Linked DNA regions of Mus musculus. The protein of the gene in region 1 binds, or shares a complex with, the protein of each later gene. Links are inferred from orthologs where the notes say so. Each region holds a gene or a part of one and is shown in the gene's direction. Other genes may lie near its edges. The genes, in order: Lage3 and Gon7.

Region 1 (8,123 bases):
ATACTATCATATCATATGCAGATAGCAATATGTTGACCTCTTCTTTTTTTTTTTTTTTTAACAAACAGATTTATTTATTTATTTATTTATTTATTTTATGTAAGTACACTGTAGCTGTCTTCAGACACTCCAGAAGAGGGAGTCAGATCACATTACGGATGGTTGTGAGCCACCATGTGGTTGCTGGGATTTGAACTCCGGACCTTCAAAAGAGCAGTCGGGTGCTCTTACCCACTGAGCCATCTCACCAGCCCCATGTTGACCTCTTCTTTTCCAACCTGTATCCCCTTGATCTCCTTTAGTTGTCTTACTGCTCTAACTAGAACTTCAAGTACTATATTTAATAGATAGGGAGAGAATAGACAGCCTTGTCTTGTCCCTAATTTTAGTAGAATTGCTTTGAGTTTCTCTCCATTTTTTTGAAGTTGGCTATTGGTCTGTTATATATTGCCTTTATTGTGTTTAGGTATATACCTAGTATCCCAGATCTCTCTAAGACTTTTAAAATGAAGGGGTGTTGGATTTTGTCACAGGTTTATTCAGCATCTAATGAGATGATCATGTGATTTTTTTTTCTTTCAGTTTGTTTATATGGTGGATTACACTTTGAACCATACCTGCACCTCTGGGATGAAGCCTACTTGATCATGATGGATGATGTTTTTGATGTGATTTTTTATTTGTTTGTGAATAATTTATTGAATACTTTGGCATCAATGTTTATGAATTTATTATGGTCTGTATTTTTCTTTTTTATGGAGTCTTTGTGTGGTTTGGGTATCAGAGTGATTGTGACATCATAAAATGAATTTGGCATTGTTTCTTCTCTTTCTATTTTATATAATGATTTGAATATTGGTATTAGCTTGTCTTTGAAAGTCTGGTAGAATTCAGTGCTAAAACCATCTGACCCCTGGCTTTTTTTTTTTTAATTTTGATTGGGAGACTTGTAATGACTGCTTCTTTTTTAAAAAGATTTATTATCATCAATAAGTACACTGTAGCTGTCTTCAGACACACCAGAAGAGGGCATCAGATCCCATTACAGATGGTTGTGAGCCACCATGTGGTTGCTGGAATTTGGACTCAGGACATTCGGAAGAGCGGTCAGTGCTCTCACCCACTGAGCCATCTCAGCCGTAATGACAGCTCCTATTTTACTAGGCATTATAGGTATGTTTAAATTGCTTATCTGATCTTGATTTAATTTGGGTAAGTGATACCTATTGAGGAAATTATCCATTGCTTTTAGATTTTTCAATTTGATGAAGTACAGGTTTTTAAAGTATGTCCTCATGATTCTTTGGATTCCCTGGGTGTCTGTTATGCCTCTCTTTTGTTTCTGATTTTGTTAATTTGGGTATTGTCTCTGTGTCTTTTAGTTTGGATAAGGGTTTGTCTATCTTGTTGATTTTCTCAAAGAACCAACTCTTTATTTCATTGATTCTTTTGTTTGTTTGTTTTTGTTTTTTGTTTTTTGAGACAGGGTCTCTCTGTGTAGCCCTGGCTGTCCTGGAACTCACTCTGTAGACCAGGCTGGCCTTGAACTCAGAAATCTGCCTGCCTCTGCCTCCCAAGTGCTGGGATTAAAGGCGTGCGCCACCACACCCAGCTTATTTCATTGATTCTTTGTACTGTTCTCTTTGTTTCTTTTCTTCTTCACCCCTCAATTTTATTATTTCTTGCCACCCACTCCTTTTGAGTGTGCTTGCTTCTTTTTGTTCTAGAGATTTCAGGTATACTATTAATTTGCTAGTATGAGAACTCTCTAATTTCTTTATGAAGGCATTTAGTGCTGTGAAATTTCTTCTTAGCACTGTTTTCATAGTGACCAATAAGTTTGTGTATGTTGTGCCTTCATTTTCATTGAATTCTAGACAGTCTTTAATTTCTGTTTTTATTTCTTCCCTGACCAAGAAGTCATTGAGCCACATTATACAACGATCTTATAAACTACTGCAGAGACTTTGGGAATGAAACCAGGACCTTGAAATGTCATATAAGTGCTATACCTAATGAGTGCTGTCGAACCCACAGCCACCATTCTTATTTTTAGAGTTTTAAAAATAAAAATGTAATTATTCTATTTTTATATGCATAGGTGTTTGTCCTTTATGTGTCTCTGTGCATCAGACATGTTACTGGTGCCCATGGAAGCCAGAAGAGGACATCAGGTCCCCCTTGAACCATTTCTTGTGAGCTGCTAGGTGGGTAGTGAGAATGGAACCCAGGTCCTCTGCAAGAACAGCCAGCACTCTTAAAAGCTGAGCCATCTCTCCAGCTCCAATTTACAGAATTTTAAGCATGCATATGATCTATATAAGAATTTTGAAGCTGGGCAGTGGTGGCCCACACCTTTAATCTCAGCACTTGGGAGGCAGAGGCAGGTGGATTCCTGAGTTCAAGACCAGCCTGGTCTACAGAGTGAGAAACCCTGTCTCAAACAAACAAACAAATCTGACAAAGTGAAAAAGGTGAGTTGGAGGATAGGTAGGATCAAAATACATAGTATACATGTATGAAATTGTCAAGGAATAAGTAAGACATATTTTTAAAAATGAAATTAGGAATGATTTTGTGGAGGATAAGCTGTAGACAGTTGTAAAAGAAAATCTCAGGGCTTTTGAAGGTGTTCAAGGAGAGGAGCTGGAGCTGCTTCAGTAATTAAAACTTGCTGCTCTTGCAAAGGACCTGGATTCAGTTCCCAGCACCCACATGACAGTTTATAACCACCCACAACTCCAGTTACAGGATTCACATAGATACCAGGACCTGCACACAGTAGGTGCACTTATATACAAACAGGGAAAACACTCAAACACATACAATAAAAATAAATACATTTAGCTGGGGTGAGGGTTGTGTTTTAATCCTGGCACTCAGAAGACAAAGGCAGGAAGATCTCTGAGTTTGAGGCCAGCCTGGTCTACAGAACAACTTCCAGGACAGCCAGACCTACATAGAGTCTCTCTCTCCTCTTTCTCCTCTCTGTCCTCTCTGTCCCCCCTCTCTCCTTCCTTTCCCGATCCCTCTACCACCACCCTCAACAGGGCCTCACTATATAGCTGTCCTAGAACTCACTATGAAGACCAGGTTGACTTCAACTTCACAGCCACCTGCTCTGCCTCCAAAGTGTCGGGATTAAAGGCATGTAACCCTGGCTAAGAGAACTTATCTGGAAAAATAAAGAAACCTCTTGCTTGCTGATACTCAAAATCTCATTTCACTTCATTTGTTTGTTGATGGGGTTTTCTGTTTTGTGACTGCTTTTGAGATGATATAAATATGTAAGTCTGGATAGCCTAGAAGTGGTTATGTAGATCAGGCTGACCTCCAACTTAAGCAAAGAACTATTCCCACCTCCTAAATCAGTGGTTCTCAACCTTCCTAATGCTGCAACCCTTTAATATGTTCCTCATGTTATGGTGACCCCAACCATAAAATTATTTTCATTGCTACCTCATAACTGTAATTTTGTTACTGTTATGAGTTGTAATGTAAATATCTGATATGCAGGATATCTGATATGTGACCCCAACTTGGGTCAACCCACAGATTGAGAACCATGGTCCTAAATGCTAAGATTTCTTCAGGCATCACCACACCAGGCCACTTGACAGTTTTTTGGTTTGATAGTGTTTTGGTTTTTGTTGTGGTTTTGTTTTTTAGAAAATATCACCTTAGGTCCCTTTTAGGAAACTGTAGGGACAACTTGGCATGGTGATGCACTTTGGAGGCAGAAGCTGACCAGATCAACCTATAAATCCCTGGAGAGTCCTCCTGCCCACCCCCACCCCCCCCCCCCACCGCTCCTCCCCGCCCCGCCTCCCTCCCCCCCCCCCGCCCCTCGCCCCTCCCCGGCCCCACCACCTTCCCCGTTCGCGCAGGCGCGTGTGGAATGGCAGCCTGTGCGAGGGGCGGAGCTTCCGGAGGATAAGGCGGGTTCTGGGCCGCAGCAATGGCAGAGGCGGCGGGCTGGTAACGCGAAGGTGGGTTGAAAGGAGGAACAGCAGCAGACATGCAGACAGCACACACAGGTTTAAGCCACACTGCAGATGGCGCCGATGGTCAGACTAGCCGCTGTTGTCCTGGTAATGCAGGCACAAAGGCAGTTATTCCCAGTGGAGCTCACCCTGTTGCAAGAGCACTGGAAGCCTCCCGAAATTCCAGCAAAAGCATGGTGCCTTTAACCCAAAGGCCTGGAACCCGACATCACAGATTGTATCCTACCGGACATGGACATATCTGCGGGATGCTTGAAACAGGGAAGCGGGTAGTCTGGAGGAGGGTAAAAAAAGAAAGAAAAGAAAAGAAAAAAAAGCAGGGAGGAGGGAAGCAGAGGGACCCGCTGATTGGGGTATGGCCTGGGCATGAAAAGTTCCTTGACAACAGAGGAGGGGCAGCAGGGTGGAGGGAAATGAGCAGGAATGGCCCAAGCAATGTGGAAGATATAGCCTGGGGAGCTTAGACCAGATGCGATGATTTTAGAGGGGTAAGGAGGCAAAGTTGATTCAAGATGGTGCCTTTCCTGAGTCTCTACCAGCTCCCTCTTCGTGCCTTTCCCGACCTCTTTGGAGGCAGAAATCGCCTGTGGGTCCCTAGTTCCAGATGTCGAACCACATCGAGGACTGGTAGGGAAGGAGCTTAAAGTGAGCGGCTGCATGCTGGAGGTGTAAGTGTTGAAAGAGTCTAGGATGCTGGGTAGGTGTCTGGGCCATCCTCCACCCTAGGCTGCACTTCCTCAGAGACATCATCACACTAGAGTGATTTTTAAGGAAAGGCATGATGCACTGGACCAGTCTAGTCTCTACCTGCAGTACAGTGGATGCCTGACAGATGAAGAAAGGGTAGGAGCCAAGAGAAAGGCAGATGGTCTGATTACTGTGAGTTCCAGGCCAGCCAGATCCACATAGCAATCCCTAAGCCAACCATGGCTACATAGTGAGAGATTTTCTATCTATTTCCAAAAAAAAAAAAATAAATAAAAGGAAAGAAATAAGGGTAGAAACTACCAGTTTGAATTTGATGTTCTTTTCCTCACTCTTAGACGCTGGATCGCGGAAGATTCTCGCCTCCTCCGACTTTCCATCATCAACTTTCTTGACCAGCTTTCCCTAGTGGTGAACACCATACAGCTCTTTGGGCCCCCAGTTTCCTGTTAAGCCTGGCTGGGGACCCATGTCTGACCTTATCTCCGTCTCCTCCTAAGCAATACAATTTTCCCTAGGGAAAAGATTCTAGAAATAGTAACTACTACATAAATGTGGGGGCCTAATATTTTTTTCCTGATTTGGTCCTCAGGCACTTAGGAGCCATTTGGTCTGGTGCTTCAATGTTTGTTGCTGAAGAAAATAAAGCTATGTTGCTAATCTGCATTTGAGCTTATTTTCAGCCTCTAAATTTTCTTTGGTTTTTATTTTGTGTTGGAGGAGGGGCTCTGGAATTCAGGTGGTTTCTTTTGTTTGTTTTTTCTTTTCTTTGTTTTAAAAAGATTTATTTATTCATTTTTATGCATATGAGTACACTATAGCTGTACAGATGGTTTTGCGTCTTCATGTGGTTGTTGGGAATTGTATTTAGGACCGCTGCTCGCTCCGGTCAACCCCATTCGCTACGGTCAGCCAGCTTGCTCCAGTCAACTCCGTTTGCTCAGTCCCTGCTCACTCCAGCCCGAAGATTTATTTATTATTATACATAAGTGCACTTTAGCTGTCTTTAGACACACCAGAAGAGGGTGTCAGATCTCATTACGAGTGGTTGTGAGCCACCATGTGGTTGCTGGGATTTGAACTCGGGACCTTTGGAAGAGTGGTCAGTGCTCTTAACAGCTGAGCCATCTCGCCAGCCCTTTTTCTTTTTTTTTAAGACAGGGTTTCTCGTGTAGTCTTGTCTGTCCTGGAACTCACTCTGTAGACCAGGCTGGTCTCAAACTCAGAAATCCACCTGCCTCTGCCTCCCAAATGCTGAGATTAAAGGTGGGCACCACCACTGCCCGGCTCAGGTGTTTGTTAGTACAAGGTAAGAGTATTCATTTAAAATGTATGAAGTCTTTGGTTCAATTCCCAGTACTGTAAAAATATATTAGAAGAAAGTGAATGAGGATAATTTCAGAAATACAGGAAAATTAAAATTCCATGCGCTATGGTGGTTTGAATCCTACAAAGTGATAGGAAAAAACCAACTCCTACAAGTTGTCCTCTGACCTTGGAGAGTGTTTGCACATATGCATACCACAAACACCAAATAAATAAAAATTTTAAGTTTAGCATTATAATTCTTCTTAAGATTTTTTTTTCACCTATAGTGCATTTTCCTTCTTTCTAGCCAAGTTGTTTTTATTTTTTGAGAAAGGGTCTCATAGCCTAGGCTGGCCTCAAACTCTTCAGTTTCTTATCCTCATCTCTACTTTCAGGTGCTGCTGGGACCTCAGGCATTCACCATTAAACCCGGCTTGTGCATAAAAAATAATTTTTAAACACTGAAATAGGCATATATGTGGTGCAATTTAATGTAATTGTTGAATACTTAAAAATCATTTCATTCAGCCGGGCGTGGTGGCACATGACTTTAATCCCAGTACTTGGGAGTCAGAGGCAGGAGGATTTTTGAGTTTAAGACCAGGCAGGTCTACAGAGTGAGTTCCAGGACATCCAGGGCTACACAGAAAAACCCTGTCTCGAAAAAATCATTTCATTCTTCCAATTTTTCTTTTATTTTATAAGAGTCTCATATACCCCAGCTTGTTCTCAGACACATTAAATAGCTGGGATGACCTTGAACCACTGATTCTCCTGCCTTGTTTCCTGAGAAATAATTTGGATATGATTCTTGTAAATACATGTTTGAACAAATGATTATTCTTGATTAGTTTATGAGCTCTTAGTAAGATTTCTTTGAATGTTCTCGACATACCCTAGTAAATGTACTCCTGAAAGTAAGTCTACCCACCAGATACTGTTTTTTTCAAATTCTTAGCGCTGCTAATATTTCCCCCCCTAAACCAAATGCCAGTACATCCCCTCCCAAAAAACTTTGTTTATGTAAAAACAAATAACCCAGAAATAGAGCTTAGTTAGCTTCTCCACCTTGTAAGGAAAAGTGTCTGACATCAACTCCCCATAAAACATGCCCTACAACGTGGCTACCCTCAGCCCAGTGGTTTATTTGTACATGCCATCAGATTTTCTGTATAGGTTATGTTTCTCAGAATAAAAGCCATTGTACCTTTTCCTTTCTACTAATATTTTTTTCCTTTCATCTGAGTTGAGTTTTCCTGCTTCTTTGTATCCCTTGGAGGGTATATGAACCTTTGTATGTTACTTTGAGGGAATGCTGCATGGAGCAGAGCAGCTGTGTATAGAAGTAGGCTTTTCTCATTACTGAGGCATGACCTTTCTGACCCTTCCTACTGCCATCCAAAAGAGAAGGCAGCTACTAGTCTTGCTTTCAGGGCTAAGGAGAGTTGTCACAGGAGCAGATTCTTTTCCCAGGCCTTAGTCTCTTTCCTTGGGTGTGAGTCAATGCATGGGTGTTAGGAATTGAACTAGGGTCCTCTGCAAGAGGAACAGTTGCTCTTAAGCACTAAGCCATACTTTCAGCCCTCCTTTTTTCCCAACATTAATTTTTAAATCTCTCTCTCTCTCTGTCTCTCTCTCTCTCTGTGTGTGTGTGTATACAAGAGTACAGGTATGTGGGGGCTGGAGAGATGGCTTAGCGGTAAAGAGCAATGACTGCTCTTCCAGAGGTCCTAAGTTCAAATCCCAGCAACCACATGGCTCACAACCATCTGTAATGCTACTTCGTGCCCTCTTCTGGTGTGTCTGAGGACAACTACAGTGTACTCATGCATAAAATAAATACATAAATCTTTTTAAAACATTTCCCAAAAAAAAGAAAATAAATAAATCTTTAAAAATAAATAAAAACAAAAACAAAACAAAGAAAGAGTACAGGTATTCATGGAGGCCAGAAGAGGACATTGCAACTAGAGTTACAGGCAATTGTGAGATACCATGTGGGGGAACCAAACCTAGGTCATCTGCAAGAGTAACAAGTGCTCTTAGCCTCTGAGCATCTCTCCAGCCCCGAGAAAAATCTATCTTTACAGCACTATCAACTTATCT
Region 2 (9,077 bases), on another chromosome or scaffold:
ATCATTTTAATTTGGGGAGAGATGTATGGGGAAGCATCTAGAAGTATAATTATGCCCACTACTTACTGTCAAGTAATGAAGTATAAAAAAGGGCAAGTGTGTTCAACAGAGACAAATGTTTTAAAATGTTGAAGGAAAAATAGCAAAACTTAGAAGTGTTGGTAAGGGGATTCTCAGCACACAGGGCCGTGGTAGAGGGGACAGAGCACAGGTCCATACTGGTGCAGCAAATGCTTTACTGAGCCTGCCAGTGAACTACCACACACACTTCTATTCTATTTCAATCTGCTCCTAGTTTACTAAAGAATTTGCCGGGCCAGCGAGATAGCTCCGTGGGTAAAGTCACTGGCTCTGTAAGCCCGGAAACCTTCGGTCCACCTCCAGAACCTATACAGAGGTGGTGAGGACAACCGCTTCCATAAGGCTGTTCCCTGATGCCTGTCTGCATATGCTATGTGGTACATGTGCCCACACACATCAGTAAGCAAGCTTGTTAAAATCAACCTGGAGTTAGAGAGAGATGGCCCAGAGCTTAAACGCACATACTGCTCTCTCAGAGAACTAGCATTGAGTCCCTAGTACCGTGTTGGCAGCGCACAACCCCCTGCAACTCCAGTTCCAGGGGGATCAGATTCTTCTGCCCTCAAGAGCATCTGTGCGCACATGCACATAGCCACACAAATACTTGAAAATCTAACAAAACAAAAGACTGCCAGGTGGTAGTGGTGGTACACACTTTTAATCCCAGCATTTGAGAGGCAGAGGGAGGCATATTTCTAAGTTCCAGGACAGCCAGTGCTACATAGAGAAACTCCGTCTCAAAAAAACTAAAAGAAAATAATTATTATTATTGATATACTTATATAGAGATATGACTATTTAAAAACAAAAACTTAGGACCAGGCCTTTAATCCTAGCACTTGGGAGGGAGGTGGATCCTTGTGAGTTCAAGGTTAGCCTGGCCTACATAGTGAGTTTCAGACCAATTAGAACCACTCAATCTGACTGTCTCAAAAAACAAAAACAAAATTCACCAGAAACAAGACTTTAAGCCAAGCATGGTGGTACACACTTGTAATACCAGCAGCACTTGGGAAGTGAAGATAGTCAAAAATTCAAGGCAGATCTGAGGGACATAAGATCCTACCCCCAATTTTAGTTAGTATTGTATAAAAATAAGTATATTAATAAAGAGCTTACATACAGACTTAGGATCTTTCTTTCTTTCTTCCAATGAAGGGGTGGGTGTGTGGTTTAATGGTCACAATGAAAAAGAGAAATAAAAAGGAAAGGACATGCCTGTTCCTTGGGAGGTTGAAGGAAAAAGTTTACTATAAAAGGAAGAGCTCGGAGGCAAGGACTTTTAGGAGAGTCCAGAGGCTAAAGATTCTGAACTGGGCCCTGGGAGAAGAGCAAGGAAGGGTAGGGGATAGGGATGGGGAGCCAGGTGCTACAGCCAGGAGACCCAAGAGAGCTGCATAAACAAAACGGCTGCATTATTTAGGGAAGGGAAGCTGGGGGAAGGGTAGCCCGGCTCCTGGGCTGGAGAAGTCTGGGAAAGTGGATTGGGTATGTCTGCCAGGAGAGTCCCGGAAGGGACAGAAGGGCAGGGAGAACCAGGAGGCCACCATCGGCTTTGATATGTTAAATAGGCACAACAGCAGAGTCCAGGGTTTGAAACCTAACAATGATCCTCCAAATTTAAATACCAGCGACCATGCTGTGACTACTTCTGGGATACAAGATTTATTCAACAATTTTACAGTGCAAACCCAACTTGGTCAACGAAGACAACTAGTATTATGACTTCAGTCCACGCCACACCATAACTCCAAGTCCCTTCACTCCTACCCCAGTCTCCCACTCCACCCATGGGCATAGTTAGCCTGTTTCCTTCCACCAATTCTCATCCTTGTTGTTAAGTTTCCTTCCTACCCACCCTTTTCCACGTTAGTACTTAAATGTACAGTATGCGTCACTAAACACTACATCTCAGCCCCTCAAACTCTCTCGTTCAAAAGGTCCCACAAATGCCAAACAGATCCTTTTCTCCTCTTGGCTTTCCAGTCCCCAGAGAGAGGGGATGTCACATAGCACATACACACGAAACTTCATTTAACCAGAAAGGGGGTGAGGTGGGGGCAGCTAGCAGTTAAACTAGACTACAGGAGTGTCCGGAAGCCGAACCTCACCGGAAGATTTTCAAAGCCGGCCCACTTTCCCTTTACTTTTCCCCATCTGGTCCCTAATTAAGATTCTTGGGCGGTGGGAGAAGTGGAGCGAAGAATATCTGGGTTTGAGAGATCACGAGAACAACCTCGTGAAAAGCAGGCCACCAAGAGGCGACAACTGGAGGACCGGAGCCTGCAGTGTACCATCAGCGGAACCGAGGGACAGCCCTGGTGGCGACAAGCTGAGGATGAAATGGCAGCCGGGCCGGGGCTGTAGAAGCACAGAGTAAAGGGCCGCCGTGAGTGGGCCCGGCCGCGGCCAGCGGGAAACAGACAGGACGGCGGGAGCAGCCGGGCCGCGCGCACCTGCGAGTAGGAGCACTTCTCCGAGTCGCTGCCGCCCAGGACGGCGCACGCCTCATTCTCCAACTCCTCGTCTTCCTCGAGCACGTCCACCAGCGACACCACGGGCTCCAGCTCCGCCTGGCACTCGGTGGGGCTCTCGGCTCCGGCCATCCTCAACTGTCACCGGGCTCCGCTGCGTGGGCCCAGGAGGAGGCGGGAAAAGTGGCCGCCGCCAGGGGCGTCGCGAGAAGGCGGGGCCCCGTGAGGAGGCGGAGCCCGAGCACCAGACAGCCAATCCTAAGGAAGGACACGGAAGAAAATGGGCGGGCCAATTTCGGGAAATCGGAAGTCATTCCTCCTCCTCCTCGCCTCTCCCGCCCGCCCCGGCCGCAGGCTGGCTTCCGCTTCCGGGTGGCGTTTCTCCGAGGCGCGCTGTTGAAGCTGAGTGGTCGCCATGGAGCTTTCGGGCGAGTACGTCGGTTGTGACGGGGAGCCGCAGCGGCTACGAGTGTCCTGTGAGGCGTCGGGAGACGCGGACCCTCTCCAGAGCCTGTCGGCGGGCGTGGTCCGGATGAAGGAGTTGGTAGCGGAGTTCTTCGGGACCCTAGTGGAGCAGGACGCGCAAGGCTTGGCGGAAGATCCGGACGACGCTTTGGATGGTGAGCGCGGGGGCGGGGCGCCGGGGGACACTGGCGGGACCGGGCAGTGTGAAGGGCAGGCTAGAGAAGGCGAGCCCCGGAGAAGAGGAGCAATCGCTTCTAAAAATCCTTAGAACTCGCTGCCCTCTTTGTCTGATATCCCACCGCCCCCCGTTTTTGCGACTTTTCCCACCAAAAAAAAAAAAAAAAACCGTGGCGAGCGTTGGACTAGGGACTGGTCAACGGACGAAGTCAGCTTGACTCCCTTGCAAAGAACGCAAAGGATTAAGATAGGCAGAGAAAGTGGCGGTCTGTAACCATTGCTAGCTGGCACGAAGACCCGAAAGGGCGGGAAGGTAGACCTGGTTGTTGAAAAACGGAAAGGAGTGAAATTAGAAACGAGAAAACGTGTTTGACAGAATGAGGAGAGCTTCGAATGACCGAGGCCCACTTTGTTTTAGGGAATCTTAACCCTCTCAGTTTTGTAGCTATTGTTTCGAAAGTAAAAGAGTTCTTTTTAGTTTAGCTTTTTGGTATTCTTAAATTAATTGATCGTTTCATTCATGTATTAATGCATTCAGGTCATGGTCTCTATCCCCCGCTGAACCCTTCTCGACAGGGCTCCTCGCCTTTCTTTCCGGCCTTTTTTTGTCACTGGATTTATTTAAGGATATTTGTATGATATTTACTGGAACTAGGGCAACACAGCAGTGACTAGACCACTGAAGAAAAACAATGACTCCCCCGCCCCCCATTAACCGCCAACCGCTCCTCTGAGAGGGGTGGCGCCTCATGAGCCCCCCCCTTCCTTGATGGAATGTTTACGTTGCCATCTTGTGCTGCCAGAGTTTAAGGGCTATATAATGTCCGAAAGCACTACAGCCCTTCCCGTCCTCTTACTTTCTCTCACCCCCTCTCCTGTTGTAGAAATTAACTGTTAATTTTGGTGGCTTGGGGTTTGTTTGCTTTTAAAGATGGATGTTTACCTGCATGCTTGTCTGTACACCTCTTATGTGCAGTGCCTTCGGAGGCCAGAAGAGGGCATCAAATCCCCTGGAACCAGAGTTACAGATAGTCAAGAGGGTGCCTCGTACATGCAGGGGAAAAGTAGGTGGTGCTCTTAACCACGGAGCCATCTCTCCAGCCCTAGCTCTGTTAATAGGAATAAAATTATTTTGTAGACATTGTCACCATGTAACGGTTAAACCAGCCTCGCTTTGGATTTGCAGAGACCTGCCAGACTCTGCCTCAGCAGTGCTGGAATTAAAGAAATATGCCACCACACTCCACTGTTGTTACATTTATTTCTAATCTTGAATTGAACACCAAGATAGATGTTTCATTGTTCTGAGCTAAGGAGTCAATTCTTCTGCAGAGGAGATTAAACTTCCGTATTCTTTATAATATAGTTATTGGCTGTCATTAAAAGGAACAATAAGGGGCTGGTGAGATGGCTCAGCAGTTAAGAGCACTGACTGCTCTTCCAAAGGTCCCAAGTTCAAATCCCAGCAACCACATGGTGGCTCACAACCATCCATAATGAGATCTGACGCCCTCTTCTGGTGTGTCTGAAGACAACTACAGTGTACTTACATATAATAAATAATTTTTTTAAAGAAACAATAAAAAGTATTAGCTAGATGTATTATTCACGGTTCTTCAAAGGAGCAGAGCTGATAGAATAAGTGTGATATAAAGATATTTATTAGAATGGCTTATGGCCTGTGATCTGAGTAGCCCAAAACTGGCAGTCTCCTGACAGAAAGGCTAAGCATCTGATAGTTGTTTGGTCCATGAGACTGGATGTCTCAACAGTCCCAATCATGTACTGGAGTTCCTGGAAAGTCTTAAGAGAGCTGCCAGTTTTCAGTCTATGTTGGAATCCTAAAGAGTAGGTTCTAACACCAACAAAGGAGTATCTTGGGCCTCTCAGTAACAGGATAGATGAACTTGATAGTCAGTGAGGGCAAGCAGGCAAAAAACAAAAGCTTCCCTCCATATCTTTTCACCTGGGCTGGGCAAGTTGACATTACTTGTCATTCTAAGATAGGACAGGCCACATTGTTGGTGGAAGTGTAAAGTGGTTATCTTAATTATATAGTTAGAGAAGAGCCTAGCTGTATGGCCAAGGTATTTGGATATATATTTTGAGTCTGAGTCTTATTTCTGGGAGCATTGGTCTAGGAGGAGGAACTGGAATCAGACTTCTACAAAATGATACCCTATGTTGGGTGCCAATAGGTTGTAATAAATTAGGAGTTTCTACTCCACCTTAGATCATTTAGTTCTCAGATTAAAAGACTTCTATTACTGTTTTATAATATGTAATAATATGGGTTTTTTTTTTTTTTTGGTTTTTGGTTTTTAGTTTTTCAGACAGGGTTTCTCTGTATATCCCTGGCTGTCCTGGAACTCACTTTGTAGACCAGGCTGGCCTCGAACTCAGAAATCCGCCTGCCTCTGCCTCCTGAGTGCGGGGATATAATACAGTTTTAATGCACTAGAGCTGGGCAAATATCTCCTTTCTAAGCTATTCTGAGCCACTTCCCCCAAAATAACCCCGGGTTATAACTTACCGTGTTCTATCTGGGCAGCTCTTAACTCCAACTGGCCTGTCCTCATGGCATGGCCATGTTTTCATGACTCACCTACCCCATGGTGTCTTCTCTCCATCTTCTTTTTTTCATGGTTCTCTTCAATCCACAAGAACCGAAACCATACCTACCTCTCCTATCCATCTATAGGCATCTTTATTCAACCAATAGTTTTAAATTAAGGAGCAGGGTCACATATCATTACTTGATATATGTGAGGATTCTCTCATCCCTGGGGCAACAAGACTTTGGGGGCCAGCATTTAGCATTACATTATTAACAGGCTGGCCTCGAACTCAGAGATTTGCCTGCTGCTTCCTGCCAAGTGCTATAATGAAAGGTATACATTTACTTTGTTTTTAAGACATGTCCTTACTGTGTAGCCCTGGCTCCCACGGAATTTACTATGTAGATCAGGCTGGACTTGAATTTAGAGAGAGATCTCTGCGTGTCTCCGCCTCCTAAAGGCTAAGATTAAAGGCTATCACACTCAACAAATTCCTCAAGTTTTTAAAAATTCACTTATTTTAAATGTATATGGGTAGCATGTTGCATATGTAAAGTGGGCTCTCTCCTTTTTATTGGGTTCAAGGGATTGAACATGGGTCACCAAACTTGTACTGCATTCACTTTTACCCACTGAGCAGTCCTACTGGCCCCACCCCTAGCATTTATAAACTGTCATGTATGTCTGGTTTGTGAGTCCCCAAAGGGAAATGGTCTCAGATCAGTCCCTTTACCTATTTGTATTTCTTCATCCACTAAACATAATGTCATACAACAAACATTTATTTTTAAAAGGTGATGATGAAGATGATGCAGAAGATGAAAATAACTCTGGTAGAACTAACTCAGATGGACCATCTGCAAAACGTCCAAAGCCAGCATCTTAACAATAGTGTTAGGACATTAAGACTGCTGCTAGGTTGAGTGTGATGATGCATATGTGTAATCCCAGTTAATTACACTGGCTGAGGCAGGAGAATTCAAAGTTGGAGGCCAGCTTGTGTGCTGCATGTCAAGACTTTGCCTCAAAACAAAAAGCCAAGATAGCAGAGCGCTGCCATTTCATCACCTGCTGGAACTTACAGAAGACCTGTGCTCTAGTTGGGGAACTCATTTCTTTTGTTTGATTGGAACAAGTTCATCACAGAGCAAACTTCCTTGTTTCTAACAAAGAAAAGTACAACAAAAGTTTGGGAGTGAACTCTTTTGTTTTCTCATCCTAAAATAAAATGGAACCATTCATAGTGGATGAAATCTAAATTGGCAAATGAATTTTTATGTTTGTTTTTCTCCTTTAAAATGATCGTTGAGGGCTGGTGAGATGGCTCAGTGGGTAAGAGCACCCGACTGCTCTTCCAAAGGTCCAAAGTTCAAATCCCAGCAACCACATGGTGGCTCACAACCATCCGCAACAAGATCTGATGCCCTCTTCTGGAGTGTCTACAGACTACAGTGTATTTACATATAATAATAAAATAAATCTTTAAAAAAAAAAAAAAAAATGATCGTTGAATCAAATGGTGTGTGTCTACATCTTTCAGTGTTTATAAAAGCTGCTTATCATAGTTCATAGGCAATTAATATTTAAAAGAATCGATAAGAGAAATATGATTTGTGTGTGTGTATATACGTCTGTACAAGTATAGATGTGAGGTTCAAATCAATAAAATACATTGATTGTAACTTACATATTTTCTGTAGCCTCTTTTTTTTTAATTTTATTCAAAAGGGGACTGTTGAATAGTTCCTAAAATATATTGTATGTGTTCCTTTTCTGCTGTTTATCGGTGGAACTAGAGTGGGGTTTTTTGATTTACAGTGCATCTTTCCTGATCCTGACACTTGAAATGCAAAATATACCTAATGAGATTAGAATAATTCTTTTAATTATATCTGTTTTGTTTTGAGGCTGGGTCTTGCTATGTATGTGGCCTAGACTGGCCTGGAAATCATTACATAGCCTGCCTGGCTTTGAACTTTTAATAACTTATTTCTGAGTATTAGGGATCACAGGTATGCACAACCATGCCTGGCTTTTTGTTTTGAGACAAGGCTTTGCTGTATGCTGAAGTTGATCTGGAACTCTCTAGATGTAGCCCAGTCTGTCCTCAAACCTCTCATCTTTCTGCTTGTCACCTCTTGGGTGCTGGGATTACAGATATATCCTGGGCCTCCGTACATAGACTCTTAGATGCAACAGATTATAATGACTTAGTTCGGAGAGTAATTACTCAATCTCAGAGTAGTTACTTGCCTTAGGTTACAGAGCTAACCATTAGCCTGGTTTGTTTGTTTGTTTGTTTGTTTATAGCTTCTGAGGCTGGAGATACATACCTCAGTGGTAGAACGCTTGTCTAATATGCACAAGTCACTGGGTTTACATCAATATCTCAAAATGAAAATGAAAACACTCTTTAGGACTGGAAATGAGTTCTGTGGTAGATCATTTGCTCTGTTTTAAGTTTTGTTTTGTTAATTTGGGGGGGGGGGGGCTCTCTGTGTATTCCTGGCAGTCCTAGAAATCCCTTTGTAGACCAAACTGGTCTCAGACTCAACAGAGGTCTGCCTGCCTCTGCCTCATGAGTGCTGGGATTAAAACCATCCATGCACCACCACTGCCTAGATTTTTTTTTTTTTTTTAAAGACAAGTCTCATAACTTACCCTAGCCAGCCTAGAACTTGTTCCTTAAACCAGGCTGGCCTCAAACTCCTGAAGAGCTGCCTCTGTCTCCGCCTCCACCTCCAGTGTTGTGCTAATAACACGGCTTCCAGATGATGTTACTGAGGAGACTCAGTTGACACACTTGACATTTTTTAAATGTTTTGCTTGGAGCATCAGCATTCCACCAAGCACTCTTAGGTAATGCAAACAATTTCAACTAGGAAAAATTACTAATGGCTGGAGATTCTTGTTTAATGGTTAAACTTGCCTGTATATAATTTAAAATAGTATATTTTAAGTAGTTTAAATTGAGGGAGCTGCAGAGATAGTTCAGCAGTGAGGAGCACTGGCTGTTCATGCAGGAGGACCTGGGTTCAGTTCCCAGTACCTATATGGTGGTTCACAACCCTCTGTAACTCCAGTCCTAGGGACCTGACTCCCTTCTATCAGTACACAGATATACATGCAGGGTAAAAATAGTTTCAAATGATAGTTCAATTTGCTCCTAAATTTTTTATATTTCCTTTGTGTACTAAACTTATTATAAAGACATTTCAACATAGTACTTGTGCTTATATAATGTTTTGAGGTTCATGGCTATAGGTTTGATGGATCTTTTATTTGGATTTAATACTCATTCCAATACTCTTACTGCTGCAAT

The links.
Region 2: the proteins of Lage3 (region 1) and Gon7 are in contact, whole or in part, in a crystal structure (PDB 6GWJ), measured with the Homo sapiens proteins. The link is inferred for Mus musculus from reciprocal best matches to the Homo sapiens genes LAGE3 and GON7. Residues at the interface, in NP_006005.2 of Homo sapiens: Pro60, His61, Ile62, Phe63, Thr64, Leu65, Ser66, Val67, Pro68, Phe69, Pro70, Glu74, Arg102, Ile103, Glu111, Cys113, Leu116, Arg117, Val120, Ile121, Leu124, Asp125, Leu127, Ser128, Val131, Arg132, Met134, Gln135; in NP_115879.2 of Homo sapiens: Met1, Glu2, Leu3, Leu4, Gly5, Glu6, Tyr7, Val8, Gly9, Gln10, Leu17, Asp28, Pro29, Phe30, Gln31, Leu33, Leu34, Val37, Met40, Lys41, Val44, Thr45, Leu47, Phe48, Asp49.

The regions. Positions count from the first base shown.
Region 1 is NC_000086.7:74,349,423-74,357,545, reverse strand, and holds Lage3 (EKC/KEOPS complex subunit Lage3), read left to right. Parts: upstream 1-3,927; 5' UTR 3,928-4,018; coding exon 4,019-4,221; intron 4,222-4,543; coding exon 4,544-4,672; intron 4,673-5,047; coding exon 5,048-5,162; 3' UTR 5,163-5,384; downstream 5,385-8,123. UniProt on the Homo sapiens protein: Component of the EKC/KEOPS complex that is required for the formation of a threonylcarbamoyl group on adenosine at position 37 (t(6)A37) in tRNAs that read codons beginning with adenine.
Region 2 is NC_000078.6:102,751,639-102,760,715, reverse strand, and holds Gon7 (EKC/KEOPS complex subunit GON7), read left to right. Parts: upstream 1-2,905; 5' UTR 2,906-2,970; coding exon 2,971-3,175; intron 3,176-6,549; coding exon 6,550-6,641; 3' UTR 6,642-7,441; downstream 7,442-9,077. Other genes in the region: putative E3 ubiquitin-protein ligase UBR7, read right to left, coding at 2,538-2,687; Gm20604 (AK010878-Moap1 protein), read left to right, coding at 2,971-3,175. UniProt on the Homo sapiens protein: Component of the EKC/KEOPS complex that is required for the formation of a threonylcarbamoyl group on adenosine at position 37 (t(6)A37) in tRNAs that read codons beginning with adenine.